Regions from separate parts of the Mus musculus genome. Here regions 1, 2 and 4 are each reported to be linked to region 3. The links are microRNA targets in miRTarBase. Many come from high-throughput screens and were not tested one by one. Region 3 holds a microRNA gene; each other region holds the end of a gene's coding sequence.
The links. The annotated mature microRNA mmu-miR-377-3p reads AUCACACAAAGGCAACUUUUGU and lies in region 3 at 1,956-1,977, opposite strand. An mRNA with a match to its seed (bases 2 to 7 or 8) in the 3' UTR can be bound and repressed. Matches are read on the target gene's strand: a 7mer-m8 pairs with bases 2 to 8, a 7mer-A1 pairs with bases 2 to 7 and ends in A, and an 8mer does both.

Region 1 (6,202 bases), not on the chromosome of region 3:
CTAGCAGTGGTGTCCCTAGGGGAGGGGAGGAAGGGCTTGTTCTGTTTCCCCATTTGTCACTTTCTTCATTTTTTTTCAAATGCTCTAAAGCCAGGATGCATGTTTGGCGCTTGTACTAGGGAAGCAACTTTTAAAAAAAGATTGATTTTTTTATGTACTTTACATCTACGGGTGTTTTGTCTGTATGTACATTTGCACACCAGAAGAGGGCATCAGTCTCATGGAACAGATGGTTGGGAGCCACCCTGGGTGCTGGGAGTTGAACTCAGGACCTATGGAAGAACAGTTGGTGCTCTGAACAGCTTAGCTATCCCTCCAGCTCCTAGGGTAAAATGTTTAAGGGTGTGTGCACCCTCCAGGTTCAGTTTCTACATAGGAGAGAAGGATGCTGCTGGAAGTCCTGTGACCAGATCAGGGCAGGGCTTTTGCGTTTCTCCTAGACCCGAACACCTGGAGCCTACTCACACCAACAGAACAATTATTTCAGCCATCATTTATTTTGAGAATCACTGCCCTTAAAAAATAAATAACAAAGAGGAATGCAAGTATTGAAATAACTAGGACTCAAAAATAAAATCTTCATGGTAGGATGTGTGTGTGTGTGTGTGTACAGAGGGCACTGTTTTAGTGAAGAGAAGGTAATATTATAATGACCTTATAGAAATGCATGATCCTAGCACTATAAGAAAATGAGCTCTTTTCTAATTCTCCAGGGTGGAGGGACGACATAGGTTTTAGCATGAGGAATGTTTCACTATACCAGGAAGTCACATTAAGCCCAGAAACACTGAGCTAAAAAGGAAAGACGAGCCGGGAGGAACACAATCTGGCACTCCTTGCATCAATCACCCCCTGGCAGCTCCCACTTTCCCTCCAAAAACATCAACCATGCTAAGGAGGATGCTGAGGATGGAGACTTTGTCCTACGCAAATCACAAAGCTACGTGGTCTATGCAGAATCCACGGGGAAGGGGAGAAAGTGTTTACAGGAGTCTTTGGATTAGTGAATCATCCTGTCTTAGCAGTAGGCGGAGTCAGTGGTGACGTGTGTGTGTGTGTGTGTGTGTGTGTGTGTGTGTGTGTGTGTGTGTGTGTGTGTGTGTGTGGGGTGGGGGCACAGAGGGCCTCTGGCTCCCGAGTCTGGGAAAGATTCTGAAATGAGGTTTTAAAAACCCATCAATGCAACACGTATATTGTTTTATAAAATATACCCAAATCTTCTTACATAACTATTTCATTTTCCTAATCATTGGAGTGCAACTTACTAGTCTAATAAACAATATATGTAAAAAAATTTATGTTTACCTAAAAATTATTTTAAAAATGAAAAACAGCTCAAATATTTTATACTGTATTGTTCTACTATAAATAAATTTATAATATGATGCTTGAAAAACCTATCTAAGTAAGGTCTAGAGTAACTTTAGCCATTCTGAGTTATTTTAAACTAACCGGCCCCTCGTCTCTAAATGGCTTACTAACATGGAATCACAGACCCCTTTAGGGATTACTCCTTAAGGGAAAATGGAAGGGAACAGAGAAACAGTGTGTCCCAGATGTGATGAACTGTGGAACATAAGCAGAGATGTGACTACGAGTCAGCCGTCAGCATCAGCGTGTCAGGATGGGCACAGTGACACACAGCAGTGCTGCCAACAGACCTGCAGGGACCACTGTCAGACAGCTCACATCCCTCAGTATAAACCGCATCCACAAGATCACAGGATGTCCCTACGTGTCAAAATCCAAACTCACTTTTTAAAATGAAAAAAATGGAAAATACTGTTTCTTATTTCAATTCAACATGTATTTCTCAAAATAAGATCCGCTGTGAACATGACTTGACGTTAAACTTTTCATCACTGTTAGTCACCAGGTAAGAAATCCAGTAGACAACAGAACACCCCTCTGTGTGTACAGCAGCAGCGGAAGCTGGCGCAGGAAATCGCATGGGTTTAGTTACCAGTACGATGCTGGCATGAAGAAAATCCTAAGCCAAAAATGTAATGAACTTGTAGGTAATCTTGCCTACCTCACAAGAGTCCCAGCATTTGATGTGTAGGGCTCACTGTCAAGCACCTATCAAGGTCTAATGCAATGGGAAAGCTGTTGGATTGTATTGCTGAGGGTTTTACACTAACTCTTTTATACTATATTTAGCATGTGATAAAACAGTACAAAGATTGGTTTTAATAAAAGTCAAATAAGTATCTGTATTAAAGCTACAAGTATAATTTGTGCCTCAACTGCTAATACAGTATTTAAAATTATACAAACAAACATCCAGTAAACATTATTTTATTTTATGACACTCTGCATTAATACAATAAATATACAAAACTTCCAAACCACTGAAAACATGCAACATGAGAGGGCCACATGGAGGGCGTTTACACAGAACCGTGACATACCACAGGGGCAGCGCAGTAGTACACGCACCTACACAATACACAAACATCCCTAGAGCAATGAACCGAGCCCCAAATCACAAATCACCAAGCAATCGTTTCCAGTGATCAGACCCGAGTTTTAAATAAAACAGTCACCATTTAACATCGCCAACTAAGACGTGACATGGATGCCTGTCCTCGTGCAGCTCGTCTCATGGCTGCAGTAACATTGGGATTGAATAGAAGACGTCAACAGGCTTTCACCAAATCACAGTGCACTGCTGACAGACTGCTGCTGAGAGGACAGCAGGTAAGGGCTTCGAGCCGCTCCCACCTGACCCAGCCACAGACACCACCATGGCTGTAAAGCTCCTTTGTGTTTTCAAACAACATAATCTCTTTCAAACGTGTATGAATCCAAACAATTGGATTGAAAACAGCATTTTCCTTGTTCATACGCAAAAACATAATGTGAGTTATAACTATTCTTTTCCATTTAATAATACCACCTCTGGGGACCTCCACATAATGGACAGGGAACATTCCCAATTTTGAAAATAAAAAACTATTAGCATTTTGTGAATCTCTGATGTGTCTCTTATTTGTACATCAGAGAAGAATAAGCCTGGATTTAGAATATAAGTACTGGTGTTTCTGTGAACTCTTACACCCTTAGTGACCTCAGTGTCCATCAAACCACACTGGATGAAGCACAGTCGCTCAGCAGCCACACATGAGCAGGTGAGAACGAAGGGGAATCCTACTCATGGGGACTCAAAACACAACTCCAAAGTCATACTCTGAATTCTACCTTTTCCTCAATCAAAGAAACATTTTTGGACTATTGTACTTAGTAAATTCCCAAGCAAATCTAGCATGGCCCTGCATGGGCAGATGTATAATCCAATACCACAGACCTCAAGGAACTGCACCCCAGCTCTGCACAGAGTCCCCGACTGCAGCCTTGGGGACAGGGTACAGTGGCTCAGCCACTCACTTCAGCTCATTTTTAAAGGATATCCTGTCTTTGACAGCCCATCTTTGTTTAAAGTCAACTTGGGTAAGTTGCAGCCTATCTATCATTTTGCAATCTAAACTAGTGAGACTTCCAAACTACAACAGTCTGCCTTACAAATGTTCTTGAGACAGCTAATCAGCATTAAAAATGATTAAAAGTCTCAACCCACATCAGTTTGTGCTGCACCATAACAATGTAAATTGGATGTTACCAATAATGAATATATTACTTGAGCTTTCTCTCCATTGCTTGGTGCAATGTTTCACATGGATTTAGTCTGTCTTAAAAGTAAAAGACAGGTACATTAAGAAATCAAGCATATTAGAATCACAAGGGTCTTTTATTTTTAATGTAACTAAAAGTGAGAGGCTAAAAGAAAAATCCCTTAAATACTGTGTGTTCTTTTTATTCAAGGGTTAGGCTAGCCTTAATACCTGTGTCAAAATCAATCTCTCTCTCTCTCTCTCTCTCACACACACACACAAAAACAAACACACACACACACACACACACACACAGCTGCCAAACACAAATCCTAGTTCAATTAAAAAGATAAGACAGAAGAATATATCAAAGTTTTCATACAGTAAAACTTTACTATATGAATACTAAAAATTAAGAGGGAAAAGAAATTATCACTATATTCTATTGCATCAATTCACTACCCTCTCTTTGGATAATGCACTGCACATTATATTAAAGTCTTTATACTCCAGTAAATTTTTACTTAAAAGAAACTATTACAGAAAATCATTTCTGATTCTATAAAGAGCCCCAGATCCTACAACTATAAGCAGTACAGAACCCAAAATACTAATTCATTTCACTTAAGAGACGTGGTGCCCATGCAAGATCAGAGATTGTTATCAAAATAATCAACTAGTCTAAAAATAAAATAAAGGAAGGTAAAATATACATTATCTACTACAGAGCACACAGGCTCTTCTCTGGTGACTGAACCTCATATAAAGCAAGCCAATTTAAAAACACCCAAACTTTTGCTGACCTTGTTCCTTCGTTATTAATAGAGGGGGGAAAAGAAAGAAACATGGTGTCATGTCCAATGTATAGTCTGAATCTCTACTGACTCCTGGAAGAACTTCTGTGGTTACTATCGAGCGCTTTTTAAATCTTAAGTCACATACTCATTTCAGTGTGTCACCACTGAAATAATCTGAGGAACACCATCCCCCAAAAATATGGAGAATATTTATTTAGCAGGTGATAGTTTTCTTCTGTGCAGAGCATGGAAATATTAAGAAACTATTAGGCAAAGTAATAAGACAAGGAAGTTTCTCTGGTTTTTAGACCATGCACATGTGGATTGGAAATACCCATGCTTTTGTGTATTGTGTGTTTCCAACAAAAAATATCTGTAGAATACAGTAACTGGAGAAAAAGATACAGTCCTAAGGAAACAGAGAACTGCTTCCAGGCTCGCTACATCTGGTTACCCTTGAAGGCGTTCTGCGCCGCGCTGGTTGCTGCGGTTGAGGCGGCGTTTGCAGCCGCTGTCTGAACAGTTTTATTGGACATCACTCCCGTTGCAAACTCTTGCTGGGCCTTCTCAAAACTAGCACCTGTTGTGCGGTACAGTCCATGCACCTGAGGAGGCAGAACCAAGGCGAGATGGTGAGATGCGATCCACACATTTGCTCAAACCACCCTGCCGTGTGCGAGGACCAGGCAGAGGTCAGAGGGGAGGTGGGGGGAACAGAAAAGAAAACCCATGAAATCAGCTTTTTACCCTAGGTCCAAAATAAACACAGGAGATGGCCATAGTGGGATTAACGGCGACACAGCGCCTTCAAAGACAGTAGCTGCCCTGTTCGGTCGAAGCAGACCAGGTTAGTCTATGCACTGGAGTACCTCCCCACGCAATGGTGTCGGACACCAACTTAACTGGTTAGCGGGACTCCCTCAGCACTATTCTGAATCATACGCTTCCAACCCCACACTCCTTACAAATGAAAACTACAGCTGAAGACCAGACATTTCAGGAAGTCTTCAAACAGTTAAAACACCTAGATTATCTTGGTTCTTAAAATGAACTAACTTCAAAACTTCTTTTGAAATACAAAAAGCCATTAGTAACTAGTGTACTAATGTGGGCATGAATATTTATGGGCAAGTTCCCAAATCCCATAGAAGACATAATGGAACCCAGGTTCTTCAGGGAATCCAACCTGTACTGCCTTCTTCTCACTTCAATGTTATGCTGTCCCAACTCTTAGTGATTGATTACTCAAAGGGAGATGTTCAGAGCTCCTGACAGCTCTCTGTGGCTCATTCCTGTCTTACTAACTGGCTCCTTTAGAACATCTACCACTTTTGCCCTGAAACACTATCCAGTACTTTGATAGTTCACTGTAGAAACAGAACAAACACAATAAGAAACAACTGATAGAAAATCAAACCTATTTGTGAAAGCTAAGGATTTCTGTCTATGAAGAAGCTCAGGAGATATAAATTCTTTCAACAGTTGGGCAGCGCAGGCTTAAACAACAATACCATGGCAGAAACCAAGGGACAATGAGCGTCCAACCCAACGATAACCTGGTCTAACTCGGGTAACCTGGGTTATCTCAGCTGTGAGATCTCAGAATGAGACTGAATCCTCAAAAGTACATTTACATCATCACAACAAACCAAGACTGCACAGCATGTCTAGAGGGGTGTGTGTGTGTGTGAGAGAGAGGGGGGGAGGGGAGAGGAGAGGAGAGGAGAGAGAGAGAGAAAGAGAGAGAGAGAGAGAGAGAGAGAGAGAGAGAGAGAGAGAGAGAGAGAGAGAGAA
Region 2 (6,202 bases), not on the chromosome of region 3:
TACCACGACTCACAGCCCCTCCCCCAAGCCTTCAGGTGTAAAGGAGAGGGCACCCTGTAGCCATGGACAGCAGTTTCACTTCTCAGATTTCCCTGCCTCTTAGGGGATACCCACCAAGCACGTTTCCAACAGATTGTCAGCTAGGAATATGTGGATACTTGACAGGGAAAAGCCTTGAGGTACATTAAGGAAAGATTTGGTGGAGGGGTGAATGCTGACTAACTCCAGGAGTGATTTCTAACATGATGGGTTCTGGAGTCAGGACTGTGATAACCGAGTACTGTGATAACTAAGTACTGTGTTAACTGAGTACTGTGGTAACCAAATACTATGATAACTGAGTACTGTGATAACTTAGTACTGTGTTAACTGAGTACTTTGTTAACTGAATACTGTGACAACCAAGTACTGTGATAACTAAGTACTGTGGTAACCAAGTACTGTGATAACCAAATACTATGATAACTGAGTACTGTGTTAACTGAGTACTTTGTTAACTGAATACTGTGACAACCAAGTACTATGATAACTGAGTACTGTGGTAACCAAGTACTGTAATAACCAAATACTATGATAACTGAGTACTGTGATAACTTAGTACTGTGTTAACTGAGTACTTTGTTAACTGAATACTGTGGCAACCAAGTACTGTGATAACTGAGTACTGTGGTAACCAAGTACTATGATAACTGAGTACTGTGATAACTTAGTACTGTGTTAACTGAGTACTTTGTTAACTGAATACTGTGGCAACCAAGTACTGTGATAACTGAGTACTGTGGTAACCAAGTACTGTGGTAGTGGGAGTACCGTGGGGCTGAGTACCATGGTACTGTGAGGGTCTGAGGAAGGTGCAAGCACATTGGAACACTAGGTTTACCAGATATTCTCTTCTCTGTAGGATGGTTCAAGACATAGAGTCAGCAGATGTCTCTTCTTTGTGTCCAAAAGAACCTGGAGGTTTGTATGGCTCAGAGAAATGCGGGTGGAATGTATAGAAAGGGGCTAGAGAGTTGATCTTTTTTGTCTCATTCAAAAGACTTGATCCCATGAAGACATGGCAGTCCAGGACCCAGGACCCAGGACCCAGGGCCTTTCCATTTTTGGGAATCCCTTTTGGCAATGTCCCTACATATCTTATATATGACATCTCTCCATATGCCCCCATCCTACTTCCTGCCTATAGCTTCATGTCTTTTGTGTCTTTGCCTTCTCTCCACAGAACATCCGGTAGTGTTTGAAGTTCCAGTGGCTACGGTGGGCCACGTGGTCCTGCCGTGCTCCCCCAGTTCTGCCTGGGCATCCTGTGTGTGGCACCAGCCCAGTGGAGTGACTTCGCTCACCCCACGAAGGGATGGGCTAGAGGTGGTGGTGACCCCAGGGGCCATGGGGGCTTATGCTTGCGAGTGTCAGGAGGGTGGAGCCGCCCGTGTGGTGGCTGCTTATAGCTTGGTGTGGGGCAGCCAGAGGGGGCCCGCAAACCGGGCCCACACCGTTGTGGGGGCTGGGCTGGTTGGCTTTTTCCTGGGTGTTCTAGCAGCATCTCTCACTCTCCTCCTGATTGGTCGCCGTCAGCAGCGGCGGCGACAGAGGGAGCTTCTAGCTAGAGACAAGGTGGGCTTAGATCTGGGGGCTCCACCTTCTGGGACCACAAGCTATAGCCAAGACCCTCCCTCTCCTTCACCTGAAGATGAACGGCTGCCCCTGGCCCTGGGTAAGCGGGGCAGTGGTTTTGGTGGCTTCCCTCCACCCTTCCTGCTGGATTCTTGCCCGAGCCCAGCCCACATCCGGCTCACTGGGGCTCCTCTGGCCACGTGCGATGAGACGTCTATCTAAAGCCAGGAAAATGACTGCCAGCCATGAGCAATCTCTGGAACTAGCGGCTACGAAGACCAGGGTCACTGAACCTGGGAGACGATCATGGCTGCTCCATTCTCTTGGAGTCTGTGTGATCACACGTCAGTGTCTGTCCTCTGGACCTGGATGAGCTGAGGGCCAGACCTTTGCCTGATTCCTGATTCTCATGAGAGATCAACCCTGTAGCCCTCTGCTATGGCCTCTTGTCTTGGGCCCATCATCAGCTTGTGGGGTGGAGCAAGGACACAGGCTCTGATTTGCTTATGGTGGGCCCCCGGAAAGAGGGAGCACTGCGGGGTGGTTGGAGCGCGTGTGCCCTGCATCCGTGTGGTGCCTGTATGATGATTTTCCAGTTTGCTGACTCTGGGGAGCGCATGATCCCCGGACTGCCTTGAGATCTCTCCCAACTCAGTTTCCCTTTGTCCCTTGAAGAGTGTGTGTCTATACACTGGTGTGCCTCGAAGACCTGTCCAGGTGTGTGTGGATGACAGGGCCGGTGCCTAGGTGCTTTTGGGGGGTCGGAGAGGAAGGTTGGAACGGGGGACAACTTTACCCTCGGTAGCCAGTGAGGGAAACCACACGACCCCATCACCCCACAGCGCTTCTTCAACTTTGAGCAAAGTTCCCAAAGTGACCTTCTGGTGGGAAGGGCAGCAGGACACGTGGCCCCGTCCTTCTCCTCATCTTTCTCCTCTGGCTGCCACCACTGCCGTGCCACCGCTGCTTTTTCCCTGGCTGGAGTGGAGGCTGAGCCCTCTTTCCTTGGCTTCCATTTAAAATGAACTTCACAACATTCTAGCTATTGAGGGATGACAAAAGGAACCCAGAAAAGTGTGTAGGAAATTACAAGCAGGTTCAAGAAGATTTGCCTCAGTGACTTTCACCCTTGCCCTAAAGCAGGAGTCCCCTAGCAGGACTCCCTGAAATTGTATGCAAAGAAATGTCTGTCCATGTGTGGCATGTGTGCGTGCGTGCGTGTGTGTGTGTGTGTGTGTGTGTGTGTGTGTGTGTGTGTGATGGCTTTCATCAGATTCTCAAGGCCTTAATGAGGTTAAAGGACCATGGTCCATAGTCACCACACTTGGGCCACATAAATGGAGGAGGTGTTGCTGTGAGGCAGTTCCTCCCTGGCCTGCTGCCTGAGGCCAGTCCCTGGACACACTGCTGCTGGAGATCCCACCTCTCTCCAGTCCTCCTCGGAAGCTAGTGAAGCTAGGCTCTGCACGTGCTTGAAGACACCATCGCCTCCTTTCTTGCTTCGTTATTCCTGTGTGCGCTGCATCTGCTCCGTCCTGCTCTTGGCCTGTGAATGTGCCTCGTCCATCCCTGGTGAGGGACCTCGAACCCCGGTGAGGATGCAGCCCTTTCCAGTTGAAGTTTCTGTTCTACTTTCCTTGACAGCAGCCTGTGAATTACTCAAGAGTCCCCTTGGGTTTGGAGTTACCAGTGGCTTTGAGTAGGATCTTTGGCACGTAGTCTAACCTAGGGACATTGGTTATTCATCTGTAAAGTGGGGATATACCTACCTCAGGGTTGCTGCAAGGATCAAACGAGGAAACGTATGAACAATAAAGCATTACCCAGAGCAGCGGGCGTGGTTATTGTAGCTGTTGCTTTATCATAGCCGAACCACGTGATCACCATGGCAGGCACTCACTGTGCACCCCATGCAGTGGAAGGTGGACAAGCCTTCACCAACATCTGATCTTCGATCATCTCAGGATGGGTCTTAACCACCCATATTTAGGCTTTACTCAAATCTGCGATTTATTTTTTTAAAAAATTATGTGTATATGTGTATGTTAACGTATGTATACGTGAGTGCCGCTACCTCAAGAGGCCAAAAGAGGGCAATGGATCCCCGAAGCTAAAGTTAGAGGCAGTTGTGAGTTGCTTGATGTGTGTTTTGGAAACTGAACTCAGACCTTCTGAAAGAGTAGCAGGTGCCTTAGTTGCTGAGTCATCTTTCCAGCCCTCTAGTCTTATACATGTTGAGTGATGTTGATAGCCAGAGTTTCCTTCTGCTAAACCAGGAGCCACTGATGTCATCTTTGCTTCTCTATGGAAGGGACACATGTACTAAGTCTTTGTGCTATTCCACTTCCAAGATGGACGTGGATTTTACTCCAGGAAAAAAGAGATTGAAAACACATGCACACATACACACACTCCAGCTAAGAAGGAGATTCTGAAGTAAGGATTTTTTTTTTCAAGACAGGGTCTTACTACATAGTTCAGACTGGTCTTGAACTTACTATGTAGCCCAGACTAGCCCAGAATTTGTGATTCTCCTGCCTCAGTTCCCCAAAGTCTTGGGATTACAGGTATACACTGGCATGCCTTTAAGAAGGCTAACAGTTCAGTAAATGGAGAAATTCATGGCTCACTTAGTAGAGAAGTCAGGAATAAGATACCCTCAGGACTGCACAAAGGACTTTAGGAGTCAAGGTCCCAGCCCCTGGAATTAGGATTCAGGGTTAGAGGGAGTCTGTCTGTCTGCCTGTCTGTCATCTTTGCTTGTCTTGCCTGATTTCTTTCTTTCTTGCTGTAAATGGCCCCACTCAAAGAAGCAGAAAAGGTGGCTGCTGCTGAGATGACTTCATGAGCAAAGGCACGTGCTGCTGGCTTTGATCTCCAGAACCCACGTGGCAGGAGAACTGACTCAAGTTGTCCTCTGACCTCTACATGTGTGCTTTGGCACACATGTGCATGCACATACATGCACACATACACAAAATAAATGAATGTTAAAGAGAAAAAGAAATATGGCTGCTTCCACATCCTTTCAGCCACAGATCTTAGAAGCCAAAACTACTTTTTCAGCGTAAACCAAGAATCACAAGGACAGCTCTGCTCATATCACATGACTCCATTGCACCAATGAGTGTGTCCAAGGAAATGGGATACTGTGATTGGCCAAGCCTAAGTCACATACGTGTCCAGGGAGGGAAAGATTACATTATCAGAAGAATGGACATAAGGAAGTTGGATAAAAAAGACAAAAACAGAACAAACAAACAAAACACCAGTTGTAGTTTACTAAAGGTATTTAGATGTAGACAGTGATCTTTCAAAAATTAATGCTAAATATGTTCCTTTCAAGTTAAAGTTTTCTAATGGCTTCTTATGACACCCAGGAGAAATTCCAACCCTTCCTTCTAATTTAGAACTGTTGTTCTTACTTAAGTTTTTTTTTTTTTTACATATATATTACTTTTTATTTTTTATTTATTTTTATTTTTTTCTTCCCTCTCACTCAAGGTGGGCACTCATTGTGGACACGATAAGGCTTTTCCTACCATATGCCAATTAAGCTCATTATTGGTGGAAAGCCTGGCTTCTTCTGGCTATTTAGGCTTTATTTTAAGTATCACTTCCAGAATGAGGACCACCCTGATCACACAGTATAGATGCGTGCTTGTCTGTTGCTGGGATAAAAGACCCTGACCAAAAGCAACTTAGCAGGGGAGGGGAGCTTACTGGGAACACAGTCCATTAAGGTGAGGAAGTATGGCGGCAGGAAAATGAGGATGGCCTGGCAGTCAGGAAGCAGAGCAACCATGTTTCACCCTCACAGAGAGGGGAGAGAAAGAGAGACAGACAGACAGACAGACAGACAGACAGACAGACAGACAGACAGATACAAATACACACAGAGAGAGACAGAGAAACAGAGACAGGCAGAGACAGACAGACAGAGACAGGCAGAGAGAGAAACAGAGAGACAGAGGCCTGGTCCCCAGTGATTAACTTCCTCCAACAAGGCTCCAAACCTAAACGTTCTATAACCTTTGCAAACAGCACCACCAAGTGGCAAACAAGTGCGAGCCTGTGGGAGCCATTTCATATTTAACCTACAACACTACCTACACATCCTTCTCAGCATAGCATTTATCATTAATGTGCATTTCCTCTTTTTGGCTTGTTTATTCTGTTAGAGTTATTTTCCTTCTTACTAAGTCTGTACTTCATATTGTCCCGCACCATAGCCGTTTAGCATAATCCTAGATGCACAGTGCCTAAGACGTGCCCTACAGAGACGTCAACAATATTAACTGAGTGAGTCTGTGTGACCATCGCTGACCTGGCTCGCTGAGTCATGGCAAGAACTAGTGTGTACTCACTCCTGCAGAAACTCACAAGGCTCCAGCTGCCCCGGTTCCACAGCGCTGAGTCATGGCTGCTGGGAATCCTCTGTCTCGCAGGCTGACTGACTTAGTTGCTTTTCTGTTGCTGTGGTAAAACATCAAACAACCAAAAGCAACTTACGGGAAAATCCTTGGTTTTGGCTTTCGGTTCCAGAGGGATAAAATTCCACCGTGGCCTGGAAGCCTGGCGGGCGTGG
Region 3 (6,202 bases):
CTCCAGTAAGGGTCAGGATCCATTGACTTAGGCCATAAGCAGAGTATGGATTCTGTGTTCGCCACTCATTTTAAAACTCTTGGAGTGTGACCAACATCAGAATCCCTTCTCTGATTTTGGCAAGAGTTCACACAGGCTTCTAGCCTTGCTGCAGGGCAGCAAGAGACTGGTCACATGCAGTGTGTCATACGGGGAAAAGACGCCACGGGCAGCTTCATGTAGGTGTTCTGGAAACTGACCTGTGGGACAGAGGCTCTTTCCCCAGCTGGCATCACCTCCTGGAAATGCTCCTAAGAGGCACACAATGGCGATGATGGTGGCTAACGGTAGCTACAAGATCCAGTCAACAGTATGGGGAGGGAAGCTTGTCCAGGTTCTTCCTCCAAGCACTTGTCCTGGAGAGAGCTCCAGCCACTGACCAGTTCCAAGACAATGATGTAGCCTCTGGAGTCCTTTGAGGTAAAGATCCTTTTGGAAAGAGAGCCACCATGAAACCTGGTGCTCATCACACCCCAGATAGTATATTAGACCCTGGATACATCCACTCTAAAATGACCTCCCGTACGGGCCTAGCCCTTCAGCACCAACAATGGGTACGTCTTTAAGCCTAGCCCTGGGAGCTGGCAACATGGAAACCCAAGGAAGGGCAGGCCCTAGAATGTTCCAGGTACCAACTGCTCGGCAAGAGCAGACTCCCCAGAACCAGTGTCTTACCCGGAATGTTTCATGAGGATCGAGGAAAGTGAAGAAGACTGCTCAGTGGGCACGTGCTCTGGCACTGGTACCCAGTCACATCCTCCAGGTGACACCCGCCAGCTTCTGAATACTCCATGAAGCTCTCTGTAAAGGTTTGGGATGGGAAAATAAAGTTTAGCCACATTAAAAAAAAAAACCCACATGGTGACCAGTCCTTCTTATCACCCCACTAGCTCTAGTCTATATCCATAGATTTCCCCATCTCAAACACCACACCCACATTGATTTTCATAAAAAAACATGCATTTCTTTCCTTTTTTTTTTTTTAAAGTAAATTCCATTAAACTAATCCAATTCCCTGTTTAGCTTCCTTGACTGTGCTGTTGGGCCATTTTCATTTCTTTTATTTCCCTTGTTATTTCCTCAAATCATTTTCATTAGGATCAATTCTTTCCCATTTAAAAATCTGAACGAAGATTTGATTCCTCAATGTGCGTTCATCTACCACAAATATTACTGCTCATAGCATCCGCCACTACTGAAGCTGCCCCTTGCGGCTGCCATGTCTACAGAGTACTGTTTCCCCAGGTCAAATGTCGCAGCTCAAATGTTGTCAAGAAAATTGGATTCTTCTGCCAATTTGTAGTCAATTGAACACATTTTCCTCCAAGCTATTCTGGTAGTTTGTGGTGTTATTTTGTGATTATTTTATCACTATTATTTAATGTAAACGGGATGAAATGCTGGTCGCCTCTATTCATTTCCTAACCCATCCAAAAATGGAGAACAAGGTTTGGTGAGCGATGAGGACGAAAGAGAAACAGACAGAGGTGTGTTGAGGGGGTGGGGTGGGAGGGGGGAAAAACAGATGGTATGTGAGCACTCCTGACCCAGTGAGTTGAGGAGAGGAAGGGGGTGGGGAGGGAAGGCTGCCATTGTCCTTGACACTGTCAAAGGACAGAGTTCATTTTGTCAAGGTATCTTCAGAGTAGAGATAGAACAGCGAGTGTGTCTGCAACTAGGGGGGCTAGGTGCTGGTGTGACAAAGAGGATTCAGGCTGAGAAGAGTCAGGGAGTAGATATTGGCATCTCTCCATTGGTTCCTGGGACTACATGTCTGGTCACGTGGCGTTCTGAGCCACACCCCTTCCTGACCATCCCCATATCCACACCTTCCATTCTAGCACATGACATTTGCAGAGACCCCAGAACTTTGTAACGTGTCCCCAATGCCACCCCAAGCAGGCTTTGATACTCAAACAAAAGTTGCCTTTGTGTGATTCAACATCAATAAAGCGAATTCACCAAGGGCAACCTCTGCTCAAGAATCAAACGTCAGCACAGGCCGAGAGTTGAGCAGGGCGCCTCTTCCCCAGGCAGCCCTGCCTCCCTCGGCTCTGGCTCCCTGACTCCCACCCTCTAGGGAGGCTGGCATTACCTCCGATGAGCCCCCAGGTCCAACTGCAAAGCAGACTAGCAATGGACTGACTTGCAGAGTTCTCTCCTGCCTACAGGTGGCCAGAGACTTGTACAGACATCCAGGCTTTGGCCAGAAACTGGTCACTCACCCAGAAGCACACGGACACCAAGTCTGAATCCCAAAGTGTTTCTCCTAGAGAAGTCCTGAGGTAGGTTTGACATAGAAGAAACCATGACTCTCTGTGTAGTAGGGTCCATCCTGCCCACCAATGAAGGCTGACCTAAAAGAGGATAACTCCCTTTCCAAGGCAGTATCCTGAGAGACCGCACAGACAAACCAGCAGCATCAGGGTACAAGGTGTCTGCACCGTCCTCTATTCTCTCTGGCTTCTGAGAGGCCTCAAAGAGGGTTCAACAAAGAAAACATGTCCAACTGCCATTCACTCAGCATCATTCGTCCTGTGTGCACCTACGAGCATTAGATGGGGTTTCTGAGCTCAAGGAACCTGTGTTCTAGAGGGTGGGAAGAGATCCACAGAGTAAGGACATTCATGCAACAACTATCATTATAAAAGCCAATGGTTTTCCAACTTTCTGGGGGAAACCAGGCACTCTCAAAATACTGAACACACATTCAGCGTGAATACATACCTTATAAGCAGCCATTAACACTCTCAGACAGACAAACGGAGGCACAGACAGGTGACAGGCTGACTCATTCAAGGTCACACCATTAGCAAGCATCGGGTGGTAATGAATGCTGCTGGGTTCTCTCCTTCCCAAGGGACACTGGAGCAGGGAAAGGACATCAGCATTCTCATGTCACTAAATGTCACTGTGAGCCACCTCTCCCCATTCACCAGCCTGACATCTGGTTCTACTTCTTAGAGATCTTCCCTGGACTGGTGAAACTGGTAAGGAATGAGTAACTGAGTGGCTTGTAGCTAGCCCCACCCCACTGGTGACTGACATTTGCTCTTCCCTACAGCATGCCTAACACTGTGATGTTTTCTCATCTGAATACAGTGCTTGACACAATGCACTATGCTCTTGATAGCCATGGCCAAACAACGATAGAGTCACCGAAATAGTTGGTGTCATTTCTGGGAAATCTTACTTTGACAACCAGGTGACATAAGTCCCAGACAGCACTTAGTACAGGGAACAATTTATTTCCTTAACCCGCACAGTCGAAGAAGCTCTCCCAGGAAGATTTTAGTGCCGAAAGGAGATTGGCCATGTAATACTCATCATAAATAAAATGAACACACCATGGGCAACCTCCATTCGAACACTTGATTTCGAGAGCTTGTGTTGATACATCTCAGGCATCTGAGGATGGAGTCCCTGAGAGTTGGGCAGATGGCTACATATTCTAGCTATATGACATATGCCATGTGGCCTAGGGGTCACTTCTTGTCTCCTGCATGTGGTGGTTAGTATCACTGACCAGAAGAAGCCACAGGAGCTTGCCACGCCCACATGGATGTGTCAGTTGTGAGCAGTTGGGAAGGCTTCTTATCGGAACACCACCAGGGAACTCAACTGCCTCTTCTAGGGAGCTCAGACTACATGGCCAGAGGGGCTGATGTAGTCATCATGGTAGATGCTGTGAATGCAATTCCTAGTTCTGACCTTGACCTTTCCCTAATATGTTTGAGGGACACATTTTACACCTTAGAAGGTGGACTTTATGTGATTTGTCAAAGTAATAAAGTGGATGACTACAGAATACTCCAGATCATTCCAAAGTATGTCCCTCCCTGAGTCCACCAGAGAACCAGGGATACACTGGGCATGGACAGCATACCTCTTACTAGATCCAACCATGGTGAACCATCCCTTCACTTACCCTGGAAAGACGCTAACACCACAGTCCCACCCCAGAAATTCCTCCAAGGCGGGATTTGGTACTGAAAAATAGGTCAACCGTGTATGATTCGTCACGAATAAAGCGAAGGCAACACGGATAACCTATCTTCAAGCACCGCACGTGGGTACCAGCATCTCTTCTCTGAAGCTGGCTTCCTCCAGGAAGTCCCCCAAGCACAGTGAACACAGCAGGTTACTGCATTGACTGTGAGAGGGCTTGAGAAGGCATCACGCACCCCAGGTCCAACCCATTCCTCCCCAACCCCTGACACCCATGGTTATCTAGTCTTGGCACCACTGCCAAGGATACAGTGTCTAAGGGTCCTTACAAGGGTCTGGTGATGGAGGTCCTAGATGCACAGATTTCATCCTGTGTTCATCATAGGAGTGGAAAGTTCCTAGCTTCATACTGAGATTGAGGCAAACACCAATGACCCTCGCCTTACATAGGCTTTGTTTCTAGGGATTTCCTGAAAAGTTCACAGAGAGGCTGACTTGGCAATACTCATTATAAAGGTAAGGTCAGCACTAAATGGCACTGACACTCAAGTCATGGCCTCGTCCCTTGGGGTGAGCAAACTTTCAGGGTGTTTTCCTAATAATAGGTTGTACTTTTTAGCTTATGATCCACTGAAAATGAGACAACAAAGAAACGAACACTAAAACTTGCTTGGTTGACAGTAAGTTCACATAGCTACCTGACGACAGTGGGCCCATGTCCATCCCAAAACCTGCCTGATGATGGTGGGTTCACGTCCACTCTGGAATCTCCCAGATGGTGGGTCTCCATGTCCATCCTAGACCTTGCCCGATGACAGTGGGTCCATGTTCACCCCAGAAGCTGGCATTGCAATTAGGCATCCTGCCAAGGGGGAAAATAACAGTGGGAAAGGGGAACTGATACCTTTAATCAAATAAATTCATGATGCAAAGGATGCCAGAGAGGGATGCAGGGAAGGTGGCAGTAGGGGGCGGAGACTGACTAAAGAACTACACAGACAATTTGGATCTTTTAAGTCAAGAAAAGAACCGCAGAGAACGTCTTTTAAAGGCTACAACTAACTCTAATAAAGAAGAAATGAAAATTACAATCGAGAAAAAAAAATGATGGGAAAACACTGGCTGGGTTATCATCTGGCAAAGTCACCAGTGCCCAATAGGAAAGTCTTAGAACCCAAAAAAAAAAAAAAAAAAAAACCAAACAAACGAGGAAGGACTGTAGTTCAGACATCAGGTATCAAGCAGGCTACACTAAGGCTATGACCAGCAGACAGCAAAGGAGAAGGAACACAGGAATGCTACCCAGGTTAACCCACTGTTCAGCTAAAGGCTCAACCCAGTAACAAGACTGCATAAGGAAAGCGCCACACATGTGTAAAAACTCTGGGGAGACAGTCACCCACAGCTCAAGCTAGTCGGTGTATAATGCACAGCTACATCTGAAAGAAAGGAAGACCCTTGTGTTAAGGAAGAGAGAACTTAACTCAAAACACGCTCTCTCCCTGCCCTAGGGACCTATGGGTGGGGGCATTCTGGAGGGTTCCCAGGATATGGATTAGAGCAAGGACAGAAGCTATGCGTGGGTATGCCTCAGTGAGTGGGTCTTCTCTGTGCGTGCGTGAAGGTCTGAGTTCCACCCCACCCCACCACCCCCCATTTTGGAAAAAAGAAAAAAGAAGAGGAGAGGGGGCAGTAGAGAGAGGGCAGAGAGGGAGGAAGGGTAGGTAGCATCTGGGAGCCATCCTTGTAGGAATGACAAAAATCCTCATTGCACTGAGATACACTAAGAGCTGAGAAATAGAAGCCCCCGTTTAAAGCAAACAAGTAGCCACGAGTGAAGCTGTTTGTAATACTGAGGACCCGTCTCAAACACTTGTAAGACTTACATTTGCATTTTTTTTCAACAGAAAAATTAAAACACATTGCAACAGTAAAGAAAGCAATGTCGTGGGGCATTTCATATCTTGTAGCAGTCAGAAGCAGCAGAAAATCTGATTGAGCTACTGAATGCTTTCAACTTAAGCTTTCTCAGCTGGGCTGGGATCTTTTTGGACACATCTATAAAGTCTTCCTGACATCGTTCCTTAGGTTAAGCACAAGTGAAATGATGATTTATATTTGAAATAAAATGATTAGACACAGGGAATATTTATCCTGTAAAATATTTCTCTCTTTACTCCCCTTTCCATTTGTATATAAGTCTCAGAAAGGAGTT
Region 4 (6,202 bases), not on the chromosome of region 3:
CAAGTCAAATCACTTAAACACCGATTACAAATTCAATTAAATTCTCCTGAACATTTAAATGGAATTGCAAGTCTAATAGGTCAGCACTTTTAAAAGCTTTGAGCATTTTGATAAAGCAAACACATCACTACAGCATTATACAAGTTTTGTGTGTGTATGTGTGACAGAGTTTATGTAGCCCAGGCTAGCCTTCAACTCCAGATCTTCCTGCTTCTGTCTTTTAAGTGCCAAGTTTACAGGTGTGTACCATCACACTAGGCTGGATTGCTCAGTTTTATTTTGTGTCAAGACAAGCCCTGGCTATCCTGGAACTCACTCTACAGAGCAGGCTAGCCTTGAACTCACAGATAACCACCTGCCTCTGTCTCCCGAGGGCTGGGATTAAAGGTATGGGACATCCATTGTCCAATTTTAAACCTCCACTCTCACTATCATACAAATGAATTTGTAGTTATGAAGTGGATACTATCTCACTCAGACCAAGTTTGGATTTGGTCTTCAAATGTAAAAAAGAGGGCCACACGGCTATGTGGCCTAAAGACAAGACATCTGTTTCTGGGTCAAAAGAAAAGAGGGGCATTTTCTTCATGGCAAGGAAGTCTTGGACTATCAACCAATGAATTCTTGTTTGGGTAGGAACTGATTTACCTTCTAAAATGATTAAAACCAGAGTGTGTGTGAGTGGAGGAGCGAGCTGGAGAGATGGAGTAATGGATAAGAGCTCTGGCTGCTCTTGTAGAGGATCCAGCTTACACTCTCAGCATCCATAAGGTGGCTCACTGCCACTGCAGTTCAGTCTCAAGGGATCTGAGGCACCCCCTCTGGCCTCCAAGGGAACTGCATGTATGTGGTGCACAGGCAAAACACTATAAAATAAAAATAAACTAAAAAGTAAAACAAACCAAAACCAAAGCCTATGTTGATCTTCTTTGTCTTGAGTATCTCAGTGGGTGAATTGTGCCAAGTGTTTTCTCAAAACATCATCTTGAGATTTTAAGTCTGTGCTATGCAGATATCTCAGAGTCTATACTCTAATCACCAAGATATCTCAATATGCGTTTACATGGCATGGGGACTTTGCAAATACACTGCTGGTGGGGACCTTAAAATAGAAAGATTGCTCTGTATATTCTCGGTGGGTCCAGTCTAAGCATCGAATTTTCAACCTACAGGAACTTTTCCTATGGACATCAGAAAGATGTGGCAGGTTTAGGCTGGAGCCAGTCAGAGGGCGGGGCTGTGCTGTGTGTGTTTTAGCTGGAAAACAGAAGCTCCTGAGGATATCAGCACTACAGCTCTAAGGGATTGAGCACTAAATGAATTTGGAAGTGTCTTCTTCTCTCTTTCCTTCTGGGAAGGAAGGGTACCACCTGCCACCTTATTTTCAGCGTTGTGAAACTTTATCAGAGAATAGTCACGCTTTTCCAGACTGTTGACATATAGAAGGTGCAATAAATAAATAAAGAGCATCGTGTACCTCCCGGTGTTAACGGGCTGATCTAGTTTATTGTATTCTGAAAAACTTCCAATGTCCAATTACTCTTCTTCCTTACTATAAGATCCTGATTTTGGATGTGATGGCCTGGAATAAAGTCTACGGGCTTTGGAGGTGGTCCAGTGGTTAGAACACTTGCTGTGCACACCTGTTGGCCTGAGTTCATATTCCAGCCAGCCATAGTCCATGCATTTGTAATCCTGTACTTTAAGGAGAAGGCAGAATTCCAGAAGGTTCCAGCTAGCCTGGTGTACGCAATGAAAAATTAGAGTCCCTGTCTCAAACATAGTGGGAGGTGGGGTCCAACACCCAAAGTTGTCCCCCCTCTCTCTCTCTCTCTCTCTCTCTCTCACACACACACACACACACACACGTCCCAGGTGCATGCACATGGAAAATATGACAAAAAGGTAAGATTGTGAGATTGTTTCCTTGCCTGTCCTGGCTTGGTGTGGCCAAGTGTGACTCCATTCTGGCGATGAGATGCAATCAGAAATGTGTGTAGGCAGCTGTCAGCGGTCGGAAAACCTTTCAAGGAAGGAGCTGTGTTCTTTCTTCTCTCCCTTTTTCCAGCGCTGCTGGGATGTAATGCTGACCTGCACGAAGCCATCTTGGGCCATGAGGCGGCATGCCAGAGAGGCATCCCAAAAGGGAAGACTGGGCTCTGTGGTTCTAAGCAGCTGTTTATCCTGAACTCCCCAGCTGCAGACTCTTCCATGTGAGACAGAAATATTATCTTATCTTGTTTAAACTATTCTTCCTGGCCACAAAGTAAGGACAAATGCTGAAGGAAAGTGCTGCCCCTCCCCCTCTTGTCTACTCCCTACCCGCCTACCCCAGTGCTGGGGTTCAAACCCAGTGCTTCATGCGTATTAGCGTCTGCCTCTGAGTGACACCTCCATCCTTATTTCTTTCTTTGTTCTGTCTCTGTCTCTCTGTCTTTCTTTTGGACAGGTTTTACTATGGCTTGCCTGAAACTCACAGAGATCCACCTGCCTCTGTCTCCTGAATGAACACCTAGATTTTTATTTTAAAACCATAAACTTGCCGGGTGTGGTGGCACACGCCTTTAATCCCAGCACTCAGGAGGCAGAGGCAGGCGGATTTCTGAGTTCGAGGCCAGCTTGGTCTACAAAGTGAGTTCCAGGACAGCCAGGGCTATACAGAGAAACCCTGTCTCAAAAAACCAAAAACCAAACCAAAACAAAAAACCACAAACTTGCCCTGGTATTTATTTAGCACGAGTACTTTATATTATAGCACTTTAAAAACGTTGACTGCTATGCCCAGCTTTGAATTTATTTCTCTTCAGCATGCTGTAGTCCTGCAGTCCCTGTTTCACACCCTCACGAACAGGACAAGTCACTGTTTTAACAGCCGCAGCTCCCCAGTTGTTCTAGGTAGGTCCGTTCATGCTGGACCATTGGGACAACTGGGTAAAAAGAGTTTCTGATGTTGGTGGGATACTAGTTGGGGGAGATGAGTCATGGACTCCCAGGTAACAGGAGACCTTAAAAGAAGAGTAAGACAGTAGTAGAAGTAGAGGAAGAACGATGCGTTTGGGGGGGGGAGCAGACTACAGGGAAATTAGCTGGGAGACAGCTGGAGGAACTACATGTCGATCAAGAGTAGGGAGTGACTGAAATTCAGATTTCCAAGGTGGGGCAGTTCTAGGAGGTGGCTGAGGGAGAGGACATGTGGTTACTGATGACTCATTCGTGACCTTTGACTCTGCCTCCAGGTCTGTATACCTGCTCTAGTTTCCCCTATTAGCCAGAGCAAACACACACACACACACACCCAAGCCTCTGGTCAGGCAATGAGGGCCAGAGTCCATTGGGACCTGGCACAGATGGACGGCAGGATTCCTGCCTTCTGACTGTCCCAGTTTACCTGCAGAATGTTTACATGTTCAGGGTAGGCACATGGCCCCATCCTGTCTCTCCAGCTACGGATGCTCTGTGGCCTTCCCCACACTGCTTTTTTGTGGTTGAGCTGTCAGCCCTGTTCACAGGGTGCTGGCCGAGAGCTCTCATTGCTGGCATTCCTCACAGGATGGAGCCCGCAGGTACTATGAGGCTGGTCCATCTGGGCCCCTGTGGGAGCCTGTCAAGCTTACCTGCGCCACCTGTCACCAAATAGCGCTGAGCAGGAAGCTGGGGTGGAGAACAGGAGGAGTGGAGTCTGTGAAGAAGTGCAAGCTTCCCTCTTAGCAAACCCTGCCTTAAACTGGAGCTGCGGAGGGGCAGGAGGGGCAGCAGGAGACTGGGAGGGCGACCTGAGTGAGGCGTTTTGTCTAGAGGTTCCGTAGCTCTGCTCTGCTCCTAGCCTTGGGTGTTTAACTATGATCTCATGCAAGGAGGTGGGCCGTAGGCAGCCTGGAGGGGGCCTTTCTCTTGCTCCAAAGATACTTTGTTTCTGGGGCAGGGAAGGGCAGAAAGATGCTAGACATCTCCGTTTAAAGGCTTGGGTCCTCAGAGTGGGAAGATGAGGAAGCCTGAGAAGCTCGAATACTTCCAGCCACCCAGAAGATTCCCCCGACGCAGGCGCAGGGACACACGGTCCCCCGGGTCCAGGGGAAGCAGCACAGAGCTTGTGGCTGCCTCTCGGGTCACATCAGGGTCATTTGCAAAGGCTGAGATGACCGGCCATGTGTTCAGCATCAGACTCACCTGGGGAGGGGAGCCCAGTTAGCATCTATGTCCTAGTCCTTAGCTCAGGACACCCCGCCCCCCATCCTCCCAAGAGTTTTCTTTTGGGAACTTGAGGGTCAGTGGGCTCTCCAGTGAGCACTGAGGGGTGGCCAGTGTTGGGTTCTGTACATCTGCCATACCCTGCTAGCCTTTCCTCCCTTGCTCCTGGTCCCTGGGATACAGGTCCAACAGAAGGGCTATCCAGGGATGTGCTGCGGTCCACTATGACCCTCCCTTCCCCCCGGAGGTGGACTGGCACTTAGGTCACCTGGACAGTTTGGCGGTTGTACACCTTGACCACGTGGAATCGGAAGCTGTAGACTCCACGGACAGGGGCCACGAAGCAGCCCGAGGTCCGATCAAAGCCCTCGCCCTCATTGACCAGTACCTGTGGGGAAGCAGATTGTGTTGAGAGGGATTCTGGGTGCCGGGAGCTCAGGAGCATCACTGGGTTGGCATTTGTGCAGTGGGTGAGGAGAGAAGGGGTGGCAAACGGGTGTGACAGGAATGTGTAGAGTCAAAAACTATGAGGAAGGGCTACGGTGCTGTGTGTATGAATGAAAGAAGGCCAACCAACGGTCAGTGGCCATCTTAGAGGAAGGTGGTGCAAGAGATGCAGGTAATGGTTTCCTTGGAGTCCGAGGGATGCAAAGGGGCTTGGACAGTAGAGTCCAGGTCCTTGCATGTCTTCCGGACAGAGGCAGAGGGATTACCTGGTCGAAGTAGATGGCACCACTGGTACCGTTGCCGGTTTCTCCTGCTGGTTCATGGTGATGGCTTCGGACTGCAGCAAACGCCACTCGTCCTGGGGGTGCCTCTCCCAGGGCTGCACCCCCAGGTCCTCCTGCAGTAGGTCGGCCTGGCTCACAGACCACCAGGCACTCCCCCTCCAGTAGGACAGGCTCTGACCCTTCTTGAGCCCACCCAGCCTCCAGGGTCAGAAGCACCAGGGCCAAGGACAGCTTGGGTTTGTGCCATTCCGTCCCCATCCTTGCTAGGTGCCTCTGTAACTCACAGATTTTCCTGTCTTCTGTCCCCTTGGCTCTCCCCCCTCTGCTTCAAGGCTTCAGTACTCCTGCCCTGCTCTGCTGTCCTCTGTGAGTCTGGCACCTAGCCCGGGCACTCCCCTCCCTGTATCTTTTTGTGTCCCACAGCTCTGCCTGGCCTTACTACTGCTGTCTCTGCGGATCCCTCCTCCTTGGCAGAGCATGGAGTGACAGCAGTTGGGCCCTGGGAGGGAGAAGAGGAATGGAGAGAGGATATGAGGGCTCTAGCCACACAAGGGTGTGTACACACACACACACACACACACACACACACACGAAACAAAATTTCTTCAATTCCTTTCTCATCTTCTCCTTTTCAGTCTTTCTCCATGGGGTTTTCCTTATTGTGGCAAGGTGTGTGTCCTCATCTCCCCCCCCTTCCCCCCCTACTCCCCCAACTCTATCTACTTGGTGAAAGTGCTTGTGTCAAGGGCAGGATTCTCTTGTGACTCTGGACCAGTCACTTCTCTTGGAACCATCAACTGCAGAACTCCCAAGGACCCCAGGAACTGGAGGCGAACGTGAGAGTTGGCAGGAGGCGTTGGGGGTGGGGTGAGTGTCTGTGACCCGGTAGGCCCCGCAGGGGATGTGGAGGGCGGGTCGCTCGGCAGCAGGACAGCAGGCCGAGCCGGGGAGGAGGAGCGCAGCCCTGCCCCGAGCCCTGGCCAGTGCGGCCCTAGCGGGGGAGGAGCCGAGCTGGCTCCGCCCCGGGCCGGAAAGTGACTCCAAAGCCACAACGCGTTGTTGACGAGAGAAGTCTAGGTTGGGTGAAGGATCCGAGAAGGCCCTCCCAGATTCGGGCTCCCAGCCCCAGGCCCCTGGGGCGCGGGAGAAACGCGGGCCCCTCCTCCCCCGCCGCGGGCACCTAGAGGAGCGGGCGGAACTCGCGGCTTTGGCGGTAGGCGTCCCCCTTCCGGGCGATCGGGAGCTGAAGGCCGTGGCGGGAGGGTGGTCGGGCTGGGGGCGGC

Region 1: miRTarBase lists Scamp1 as a target of mmu-miR-377-3p. Seed matches in the 3' UTR shown: 7mer-m8 at 3,878-3,884.
Region 2: miRTarBase lists Sema4f as a target of mmu-miR-377-3p. Seed matches in the 3' UTR shown: 7mer-m8 at 1,946-1,952 and 7mer-m8 at 2,868-2,874.
Region 4: the mRNA of Cbln3 is a reported target of mmu-miR-377-3p. Seed matches in the 3' UTR shown: 7mer-A1 at 2,833-2,839 and 7mer-m8 at 1,845-1,851.

What each region holds. Positions count from the first base shown.
Region 1 is chr13:94,199,151-94,205,352 of GRCm38, forward strand. It overlaps Scamp1 (secretory carrier membrane protein 1), which reads right to left. Exons shown (of 9, transcript NM_029153.1): 9 at 2,283-5,013. The coding sequence ends at 4,849. Among named protein-coding and RNA genes, the nearest start is that of Scamp1, 83 kb to the right of the region's middle.
Region 2 is chr6:82,909,125-82,915,326 of GRCm38, reverse strand. It overlaps Sema4f (sema domain, immunoglobulin domain (Ig), TM domain, and short cytoplasmic domain), which reads left to right. Exons shown (of 14, transcript NM_011350.4): 13 at 902-960; 14 at 1,223-3,442. The coding sequence ends at 1,836. Among named protein-coding and RNA genes, the nearest start is that of Sema4f, 28 kb to the left of the region's middle.
Region 3 is chr12:109,736,328-109,742,529 of GRCm38, reverse strand. It overlaps Mir377 (microRNA 377), which reads right to left and starts at 2,020; the gene lies at 1,953-2,020. It overlaps Mirg (miRNA containing gene), which reads right to left. Exons shown (of 8, transcript NR_028265.1): 2 at 4,723-4,849; 3 at 715-840; 4 at 240-468. It overlaps Mir154 (microRNA 154), which reads right to left and starts at 4,097; the gene lies at 4,032-4,097. Mir496a (microRNA 496a) reads right to left here and starts at 3,411; the gene lies at 3,333-3,411. It also overlaps Mir541.
Region 4 is chr14:55,879,011-55,885,212 of GRCm38, forward strand. It overlaps Cbln3 (cerebellin 3 precursor protein), which reads right to left and starts at 5,246. Exons shown (of 3, transcript NM_019820.3): 1 at 4,902-5,246; 2 at 4,457-4,576; 3 at 1-4,167. The coding sequence starts at 5,177. The coding sequence ends at 3,970. It overlaps Khnyn (KH and NYN domain containing), which reads left to right and starts at 5,932. Exons shown (of 8, transcript NM_027143.3): 1 at 5,932-6,132.